Linked DNA regions of Saccharomyces cerevisiae S288C. Changing the gene in region 3 together with the main gene of any one other region gives a genetic interaction. Each region holds a gene or a part of one and is shown on either strand. Other genes may lie near its edges.

Evidence for each region.
Region 1: mutations in YBL036C (region 3) and DAL1 together harm fitness more than expected from each alone (negative genetic interaction), as found in Saccharomyces cerevisiae (2 studies listed by BioGRID).
Region 2: mutations in YBL036C (region 3) and NCE101 together harm fitness more than expected from each alone (negative genetic interaction), as found in Saccharomyces cerevisiae (2 studies listed by BioGRID).

What each region holds. Positions count from the first base shown.
Region 1 is NC_001141.2:405,668-409,240, reverse strand, and holds DAL1 (allantoinase), read left to right. Parts: upstream 1-1,598; coding exon 1,599-2,981; downstream 2,982-3,573. Other genes in the region: DAL4 (allantoin permease), read right to left, coding at 1-773; tyrosine protein phosphatase YVH1, read left to right, coding at 3,274-3,573. UniProt on the Saccharomyces cerevisiae protein: Catalyzes the conversion of allantoin (5-ureidohydantoin) to allantoic acid by hydrolytic cleavage of the five-member hydantoin ring. Involved in the utilization of purines as secondary nitrogen sources, when primary sources are limiting.
Region 2 is NC_001142.9:49,495-52,273, reverse strand, and holds NCE101 (Nce101p), read left to right. Parts: upstream 1-1,830; coding exon 1,831-1,862; intron 1,863-2,005; coding exon 2,006-2,135; downstream 2,136-2,779. Other genes in the region: RCY1 (Rcy1p), read left to right, coding at 1-1,645; YJL206C (uncharacterized protein), read left to right, coding at 2,339-2,779. UniProt on the Saccharomyces cerevisiae protein: Involved in a novel pathway of export of proteins that lack a cleavable signal sequence. May be part of the export machinery or may also be a substrate for non-classical export.
Region 3 is NC_001134.8:149,824-153,029, forward strand, and holds YBL036C (pyridoxal phosphate homeostasis protein), read right to left. Parts: upstream 1,398-3,206; coding exon 624-1,397; downstream 1-623. Other genes in the region: APL3 (Apl3p), read left to right, coding at 1-463; DNA-directed DNA polymerase alpha subunit POL12, read right to left, coding at 1,670-3,206. UniProt on the Saccharomyces cerevisiae protein: Pyridoxal 5'-phosphate (PLP)-binding protein, which may be involved in intracellular homeostatic regulation of pyridoxal 5'-phosphate (PLP), the active form of vitamin B6.

The DNA.
Region 1 (3,573 bases), on a different chromosome or scaffold from region 3:
GGTATACTGACCACCCAAAATATAAAGAAACACATGAATTCAAAAGTAGTGCTATTTGGAGAACCAAAATGGTTTGGGATTCTATCTTCCAGATTCTTGCCAAAAATAGATTTTAGCATCAGTGCCACGGGCGTTGCACCTAACCAGGCTTGCACGGCATACCATACTATAGCCATCACGACACGATTTATAATCGGCCACATAGAAAAGAATATACCAAATGAGGCCCTAACAGTAATAGGGAAAGATAAGTGATATGCGGAACCAAATCTCGAGTTCAATACTACGAAGATACCTGCAAAAGTGTAGCCGATCCAAACTGTAAGCCAACATTGCCACCAATTCAGACCTAGTTGTAGACCTGTACCAGCTATTTGCCATGTGTTAATATTGAAACAGTCTGCCAGCCAGAAATATAAGTAATTGAACCAGGACCAACACCTTCTTTCTTCTTCAACCGGTTTCAAGTCTCTGTTATACAAGAACGACTCTTTCAACGAAACATTCAAAGTTGTCTTGTCTAACACAATGAAATCGTAGTATATTTTACTCCAGATGGACTTTGTTTCGGGCAAGGGCACGACTTCGCTCTCCTCTATTGAGGAGTTGTCCACATACACATTAGTGTTGATATTCTTGTTCTTGTTGAACTTCCCATTTTCCACATCTATAATATCATCTTCATTGTTTGTATATGACACAATAGATGTGGAGGGTTGGACACCTTTCCTCGAAGGATTACTGAAAATAGCACTTAGAGCGTCGTTAGCCATTCTCGTCTTTGTTGATGTTTTATATCACAAGATGTAGATGAATATAAAAGGTCAAAAAGGGAAACTAAAGTAACATATATATTCAAACTACTCATCAAGCTAATTATTTATACTTTTTTTTTCTTCCCCATGTTTTCCTAGCCTTCTATGCTCAACACTAGCAGATCAAGTTTCTCGATTACAAACTTGTTTCTCTGATACTCTACCTCTCTATGCTAATCATTGGACACAATTTTTAAAGGAACCTTATCGACGTGACAGCAAAGCGGTCAATCCATCCTATTATTCCTTCTCATCTCCCTGAAAAGGAAAACATCCTGGATCTTCAATTACACATACACATTCCTTATCGCAACTAGATTAGAGGCGCTATTTTGTATGCGACAGCGAGTAAGGATGGCCGGAAAAAAAGCGGGCGCATTTTCCCTGGCAGAAATTTTTCATTGATAAGAAAGTAATACCGATAAGAGATACCCTCGAGCCACATTAGACCCGAGAATTGCAGGAAAGAAAGGAACTGCATGTTTCGATTCTATTGTCCCTTACTGCGGATCATCGAATAGGCGCAAATGTGTTGATGGTGGACTGATGGAACTTTATCAGGAGAAGTGGTTCAAAATTGCGGTGCTTAATTATCTATATAGAGGAGGCATATCTCATCGAAGGGGACAATGATGAGGTAACGCAAAAGTGATGAGTTTCTACTGGTATCTTGTAATTGAAGGTACCCCTTTTTCTTTTAGCTATCTTTAATTAGGTTAGAAAAGTGTATATTTCGCAAAAACGTATAGGCAAAAAAAAAGTGAAATACTGCGAAGAACAAAGATGCCTATCAATGCCATCACTTCCGACCATGTCATTATCAATGGTGCAAATAAACCTGCGACTATTGTGTATTCGACCGAATCAGGCACGATTCTGGATGTTTTAGAAGGCTCCGTGGTTATGGAGAAAACTGAGATAACCAAATATGAAATACATACGCTGGAGAACGTATCTCCATGTACAATTCTGCCTGGACTTGTGGACTCTCATGTTCACTTGAACGAGCCCGGTAGGACTAGCTGGGAAGGATTCGAAACTGGAACTCAAGCTGCTATTAGTGGCGGGGTCACAACGGTGGTTGATATGCCGCTAAATGCTATTCCTCCCACAACAAATGTGGAGAATTTCCGAATTAAATTGGAAGCTGCTGAGGGCCAAATGTGGTGCGATGTTGGGTTTTGGGGTGGACTGGTACCACACAACTTGCCAGACTTAATTCCGCTTGTCAAAGCTGGCGTTCGCGGGTTCAAAGGATTCTTGCTTGATTCTGGTGTGGAAGAATTCCCTCCAATTGGCAAAGAATATATAGAAGAAGCCTTGAAGGTCTTAGCCGAGGAGGATACCATGATGATGTTTCATGCTGAGTTGCCCAAGGCACATGAGGACCAACAGCAACCCGAGCAAAGCCATCGTGAATATTCTTCGTTTTTGTCCTCGAGGCCGGATTCTTTCGAAATAGACGCCATCAATTTGATTCTCGAATGCTTGAGAGCCAGAAATGGACCAGTTCCTCCTGTACATATAGTTCATCTGGCATCAATGAAAGCAATTCCCTTGATCAGAAAGGCACGTGCGTCAGGGCTACCAGTCACAACAGAGACTTGTTTCCACTATTTGTGTATTGCTGCAGAGCAGATCCCAGACGGAGCCACCTACTTTAAATGTTGTCCACCCATCCGCTCTGAGTCTAATCGCCAAGGCCTATGGGACGCTTTGCGTGAAGGTGTTATAGGCTCAGTAGTGAGCGACCATTCGCCATGCACCCCTGAGTTGAAGAACTTGCAAAAAGGTGACTTTTTCGATTCTTGGGGAGGAATCGCTTCCGTCGGACTAGGTTTGCCATTGATGTTTACCCAAGGCTGCTCTTTGGTCGATATCGTTACATGGTGCTGTAAAAATACATCCCATCAGGTAGGACTATCTCACCAAAAAGGCACTATAGCTCCCGGGTACGATGCTGATTTGGTGGTATTTGATACTGCAAGTAAACATAAAATAAGTAATTCAAGTGTCTACTTCAAAAACAAATTGACTGCCTACAACGGGATGACGGTCAAGGGCACAGTTTTGAAAACCATATTAAGAGGCCAGGTGGTATATACGAATGCCAACGGAGTCTCGAAAACACCATTGGGTCAAACTTTGCTTGATTCTAGACGTTAAACTAAAGTTGCAAATTTTTATTAAAGAAATTCTATAGAAATAAAAGAAACAAATTTATAAAAAGTTATTTACACACATACATATATTAACCACTCTTAGTTTGAGATGACACAACTTTTAATGATCTACAATATATCCATCTGGGTCTCCACGGCTGCAATTTTGAAATTTTCTTAGCGCTAAAAAAAAGAAATCTAACTGAAAAAAAAAATTATACCTCAGCTCATCGAATGCATCTAATACAGGTATAACGCAGAGAAAGCAGTAAAAGCAGCAAGAAATTACAGGGAAGATGGCTGGAAATGCAAACTCAGTAGACGAGGAAGTTACCAGGATATTAGGAGGCATATATCTTGGCGGAATCCGTCCAATTATTGACCACAGACCATTGGGTGCAGAATTTAACATTACTCATATTCTTTCTGTTATCAAATTCCAGGTCATTCCAGAGTATCTAATAAGGAAAGGTTACACGCTAAAAAACATACCCATCGATGATGATGATGTGACTGATGTGCTGCAATACTTCGATGAAACGAACCGATTCATTGATCAATGCTTGTTCCCCAATGAAGTTGAGTATTCGCCCAGA
Region 2 (2,779 bases), on a different chromosome or scaffold from region 3:
CAATATCTTATTAAGCTATAGTGAATTTTTAAAAGAAAATGGAAAGGATAGTAAAGCCAATTATGAATGCGTACCCGAACTTTATTTCACATTTATAAAAAAGTTTGATACTGAATTAAACGACTCAGTAAACGCAGGCGCAAATTTCCGTAAAGTTGTTCGTGACCTTTTAAACCTGTATCTCGAGCCCTTTGTTGTCAACTATATGAATCAGACAACTAGAGTATTTGAATCATTGATCAACTCACAATTAGCTAATTATGACACACAAGTTCAAGACAAGCAGCGTGAGCAAAACGCAAAAATTTATAACACTTTAAAAGATCAAACGGATGCTTCGAGTGCAAGTAACAATGAATTGCCGAATGACCTCTCAATAATTACTGAAACCTCCAAAACTGTCCCAGAAGCGGATTCAAAACCAAGTACGATCCATCAATCAGTTCATTCAACTGATATTTCTAATGATAAACTAGACTTTCTAAGTTCCTTCACCAAGATTTTCAAGTTCTCGAACAATGAAAATCAAAGGCTAAAGCAACAACTACAACTAGCCTACAACTTAAATTTAATTTCCAATAACTTGCAAAACATTAAATCGTTAATAAGTCTCGATTTATGTTACAAAATTTTACAGGAAACAAGCGAAAAGACGGATCAAATTTACAAATTTCATACGATTGAAAGTTTGCTACCATTGATCAAGCTACGCTGTCAAGAGATTTTCAAAATTTTAATTACACAATTGAATAAAAATCACGTTAAACCTGCATTTGAAAAGGCAATCCTGCTACTACAAAAATATAATCCTAACGAAATAGAACAAATAGAAATAAAATTCAATTCACTTTCGCCAGCCAATACTCAAGTCGAACCTTTAGTACAATTCACTGAACTTATCAATATAGGTGACATAATATTACAAATGATTTCCATTTTTTACAAGAACGAATTGATTCCCAAAAAAATTATCGATAAAAATAAAGATTTTCTTAATGATGTTATCCAATTAAAAAAAAATTTTGAGACTTCTATCGATGATTTTGTAGCCGAAGGTTTAAATATCGGTATAAACAAACTAATGGATGAAATCTCATTTGTATTCAAGACTCTTCAATTGCCTGACGATTATAATCCACCGCCACCCTCTAGGAATTCTCCAATAAGGGATATAAAGCCAACCAAATGTGCTATCAGGGTAGTCGAGTTACTTTCTAATCATTGCTTTCTACTGACTGGTGCCACAGACAAGGGTACTATTGACGTGTACCAACAAGAAATTGGCGAGAGATTCTTTAATGAAATCGTCAAACATCTGAAGAAGTGCTTCATATCTACGGAGGGCGCAATTTGGTTAATCTGCGATTTAAATTACTTTTACGATTTTATTGCTAACAAATTAAAACAAAAAAATGTTGTTCCCTATTTTGTTGGGCTTAAGTCTATTGGCCAGTTATACATCATTTCAGGCAAGGACTCGAAAGAGTTGGGAAAGCTTATTTCTGATCTTGGGAAATTCAATGGCATTTTTACGCAAGAGGAAATTTATGAATTTGTTCAGAGGAGAAGCGATTGGGTTCGTGTACGGAAAGACGTTGAAAAGGTAATGTACGGCCTAGGCATACGAGATTGCTGCATTATGTAAATTCCTATCAATGATTAATTATATTACTCTATATAGGTATGAAGTGCGGAAATAAAAGACTGTTCACATATTAGATTATTCAAGATTACGCGGGCTCTATTTTTCCCTGTTAGCCACACGCACACAAGGGGCATACAAATGTTCACTCCATTTATAAGAGGATTCCACACAAGATCATCGATAACATGGTTCAGTACGCTCCCTTTCTATTAGGAAAGTATGTTCATTCTTCATACGCTATTCTATTTTTTTTTTTTTCACACTTATTCTTTTACTAACGCATAGTTAACCATTTGCTGTTTCGAAGAGGCAACATCAAACAAGTCGATGTGCTCTTTCCCAAGCTGGTCTCTATTGCAGATTTTCTGATCCGTTATTGGCAATTATGGTAGGCTGTCTCAGCTACTATGTGTACGAAAGGAAAATGGGGCGTCCACAAGGTCATCATTTACACGAGCTCATAAAGAAGCGATGGGACGATCGCAAATAATAATCCGGCGTGAGGGGAGTATATATAAGTTTCTGGCGATATGTAAATACCATAATAATTAATCCTAGGATCTACCTTTATACGCATTTATCCTATAAAAACCCAATCTTTCAGATCCACAGTATTTTTATATGTGTGATTTCCTTGATTGTCTCAATTTAAAGAGTAATACATACAACTTAGACCAAAGAATTATTCAATAGATGACGCCGAAAGAATCTGGAAAGCCTATTTCGTGTGCAATGAAGAAGTTGAAAGGCAAGAGATCTAAGATTTTGGTTTTATCTAGAGATGCGGGCACCAACGAATTGAAGCCAACGAAAGGAAGAGCACATCGAGCTTGCATAGCTTGCAGAAAGAGGAAAGTACGATGTAGTGGTAATATACCATGTAGACTTTGCCAGACTAATAGTTACGAATGCAAATATGATCGCCCCCCACGGAACTCATCGGTATTTGATAGGGAAGTAAGCGATGATAGTTCCTTATATGCACAGAGAGCTTCCCACGAACGGGAAGATAGCAAGGGCCCTATAAGTTCCATTGATTACAAAAAGGTTGTAGAGACGATCTTTCCACCTGAAACACTCCGTCAAATACTTGCTTCTTCTTCTTTTAACAGCCAGAATTTTTTGGACACTATT
Region 3 (3,206 bases):
TGGCGGTAGTACAAACACTATCAATTTGAAAACTGCCATAGGCATGACTACAACACTAATTAGCAGCGATGTCAATCCTAGCATGCATTTGAATTTGGCACAGTTCATCAGCCGTTGGAAGACTTTGAGCGATGCTTTGGGAAAAGAGGGAGAATACCAAAAATCTGGCATAAAGCTCAACAAGGATTTTAGAAAAGTTGAAACAATCAGTTTAGAAGACGGACTTCTACTATTGACGCAAACAGTGAAGAGGTTGGGCTTTGATATAGTCGATCAGACCAGTGTTCGTAGTACATTGTTTGTCTCGGGTATTATTCATACGAAAAGTGAGGGAAACTTCGGTTGTTTAATGAAGATACAATACCAGGTAAATGGAACAGTTAATGTTACCTGTAAAACAACGACGGCCGGTCCCCTGGCGAAGTACATTGTCGAATGTATAAAGAATGTGCTTACGAAGTAAAATTTTCTCAAATTCACTATAATGAAAATCATCCGCATTGTACATATATAAACACACACACACATATATATATATATTTGAGATTCTATTTATTTTCATTTTGTGTTGTAATGCTATAAAAAAAAAGATCTTCGTATAAAATCTCAGTTCATTCAACCTACTAAATGATTCTAGCTTCATTTTTTGGAGGTCTAGCACCAAAAATGTCGGTACCAATTCTGACTTCCGCTGTTCCTTGCCTTATAGCCTCCCTGAAATCAGCACTCATCCCCATAGACAATTTCAATGATGTACCAAATTTAGCATCAATCTTCTTCTTCCACTCAACCAGCGTAGCAAAGTCTCTGTTTTCTTTGCTATCTTCATGAGAGACGTTCCATGAACCAATAGTCATTAACCCATTCAACTTAATATACTTGCATTCTTCGGATAAGAAGAAGTCGATGACTTCAAATATTTCTGCTTCATTATTCAAGCCCGATTTTTGATCCTCATGGGAGGTATTAATTTGAACATTACACAATATTGGGTTGCAATCTGGTTGAAATTTAGCCCTCGATTCGTTTAATTTTTTGGCTTTCTTCAAGGAGTCGATTGTTTCAACAGAGTATAAATTTGGCACTTTAGCCAAATCTTTACATTTATTCGTTTGCAAACCGCCAATAAAGTGCCACTTGATATCGTCTGGTAGTAATTTTGCCTTTTCGATCAACTCTTGAACATAGTTTTCCCCGAACTCCCTCACACCATGGTCGTAAAGAATTTGTATATCGCTAGCTGGTTTCAATTTCGAAACAACCAATAATAAAATTTTGGAGGCATTTTCATTAACATGAACATTTTTTGCCTCTGCATTCACAACTTCCCTTACAGATTCGTATTGGGCAATTAATTGTGTCTTTCTATCTTCATCATAAGTAATACCAGTGGACATATTGCAATGTGATGCTGGAATCTTAGTCAAAAAGGAAAGAGTGATGCCTATCAGTTTTTTTTTTTATTATGCATTTAAGAGTAGTCTCTACTTATGAACATTTTCTCTGGCCTCTGATCACGTTACTTTATTACCCGGATACTGATCATGTTATGGTCTTTAATCAATAAGTAAGTTATAGAGCCAGTTTCAAGGTCGATAGTTCAGGTGTATAACAATACTTTTTGGTGCTACCTTGAGCTATTCCATTAGTTAAGTTTGAATTAAATATATCAACTAGCAATCAAGTCAACTCTAGCGCGCTTCCACACGTTGTGTAGATAAACTGGCTCTTCACCTTCAACAAGCGTCAATTTCCCGTCTTCAAGATCAGGGCATTGGACAGTAATTTGTGCATAGGATCCCCTGTTACCTGTTGCTCTAATAAATCTTCCGGGATTTATAACAACTACGTTTTGGACAACTCTTGCAAAGTGTTGTAATTCACTGGGTATAATCATTATGTCAGGCGAGAACCCACCAACAAACTCTGTTAGTCCCAGATAACTCACGTCTAAATCTGCACCAGATATATGTTCATAAACTTTTTCTTCTTTGCTTTCCATATCATTGGTTTCCTTCTTCGTAGATACGTCTTTTGGTTTTATTCTTGTACGAATACTACCTGGAAATATGGGGTAATACCTGCGCTGTTGTAAAATATGCTCAGAAACACGATCTAATCTATATCTTGATGAGGTAGTACCGCCTTTTATGACTTCCTTTAGATCTTTGAATGTATCAACGTTTGAGCAACCGAAGTATATCTCATTTATTTGAAAAGATGAAGGATTAGCCATGCATTTGAAGTTCCTTTTAGGCAGCTGTAAAGCCTTTCTAATTAAAGAAGCTTGTGGATATGCGGCGTGATTAGAAATTGCATCTTTTGTGGAGGGTATCAATACGGTTTGGATATGTGGTGATATGGTTTTTAGAATAGGAGTAAATAACTTCAAAAAAAGCTCGTCCAATGTTTTGGGCTGTGTCTTGAACTGGGGAAAATTTGGCAATTTACCACTCGCTATCAGAGGATGGGTGATATCTATAAATGGGCCAAACATTATCAAGACGTGAGGTTTTACCTCATTATTTATACTATCGATAAATTCTTGCAACAATTCGAGGGAGAAGTTATCATTTGCAAAGTATGGGCCACAGGTCACGATAACCTTCAAAGAAGAACCTTCCAAATTTGCTTGAAACTCCTGCAGTTCCTGCGATGTGGACACTGGGGAGTTTGGATAAGGTAGCGGCAAAATAGAGTTAACGGTGAAGTAATCCCCATTAGCATTTTTACCTTTGAATGCCACAATTTGGCCTAAGAAAAACGAAAGCTCGTTGACCTGCGATAGATCTAACCTTACCCTTCTTCCAACGCCGCCCATTCTTGAGGTCTCTAGGGAAAGCGATTCTGGATTCAAAAACTTGTCGTAGGTCGGCGAATCTGGAACTATCCTTCCAACAGCATAAATTTCGGACTGAGATTGAATAGTTGGATCAGCGAAGTCGTTTGGAGATAACTTATAGTGATTTTGAATAATCTTAGTAAACGATTCAATTTGATCATCGAGGACATCAGACGCTTCCTGTAAGTTTTGCCTCATTGTTCTGAATTTATACTTTTTAGCATCATAAAATGGTTCTACTTTGACCTGGTTATATGATGGTTCTTCAGTCGAAAGAAGGCCTACATTTGGATTACCAGATGATATTTCAATATTTTCAGGGTTCAAAGAATCCAAAATTTCACCAGCAGGAACATTTTGCCTC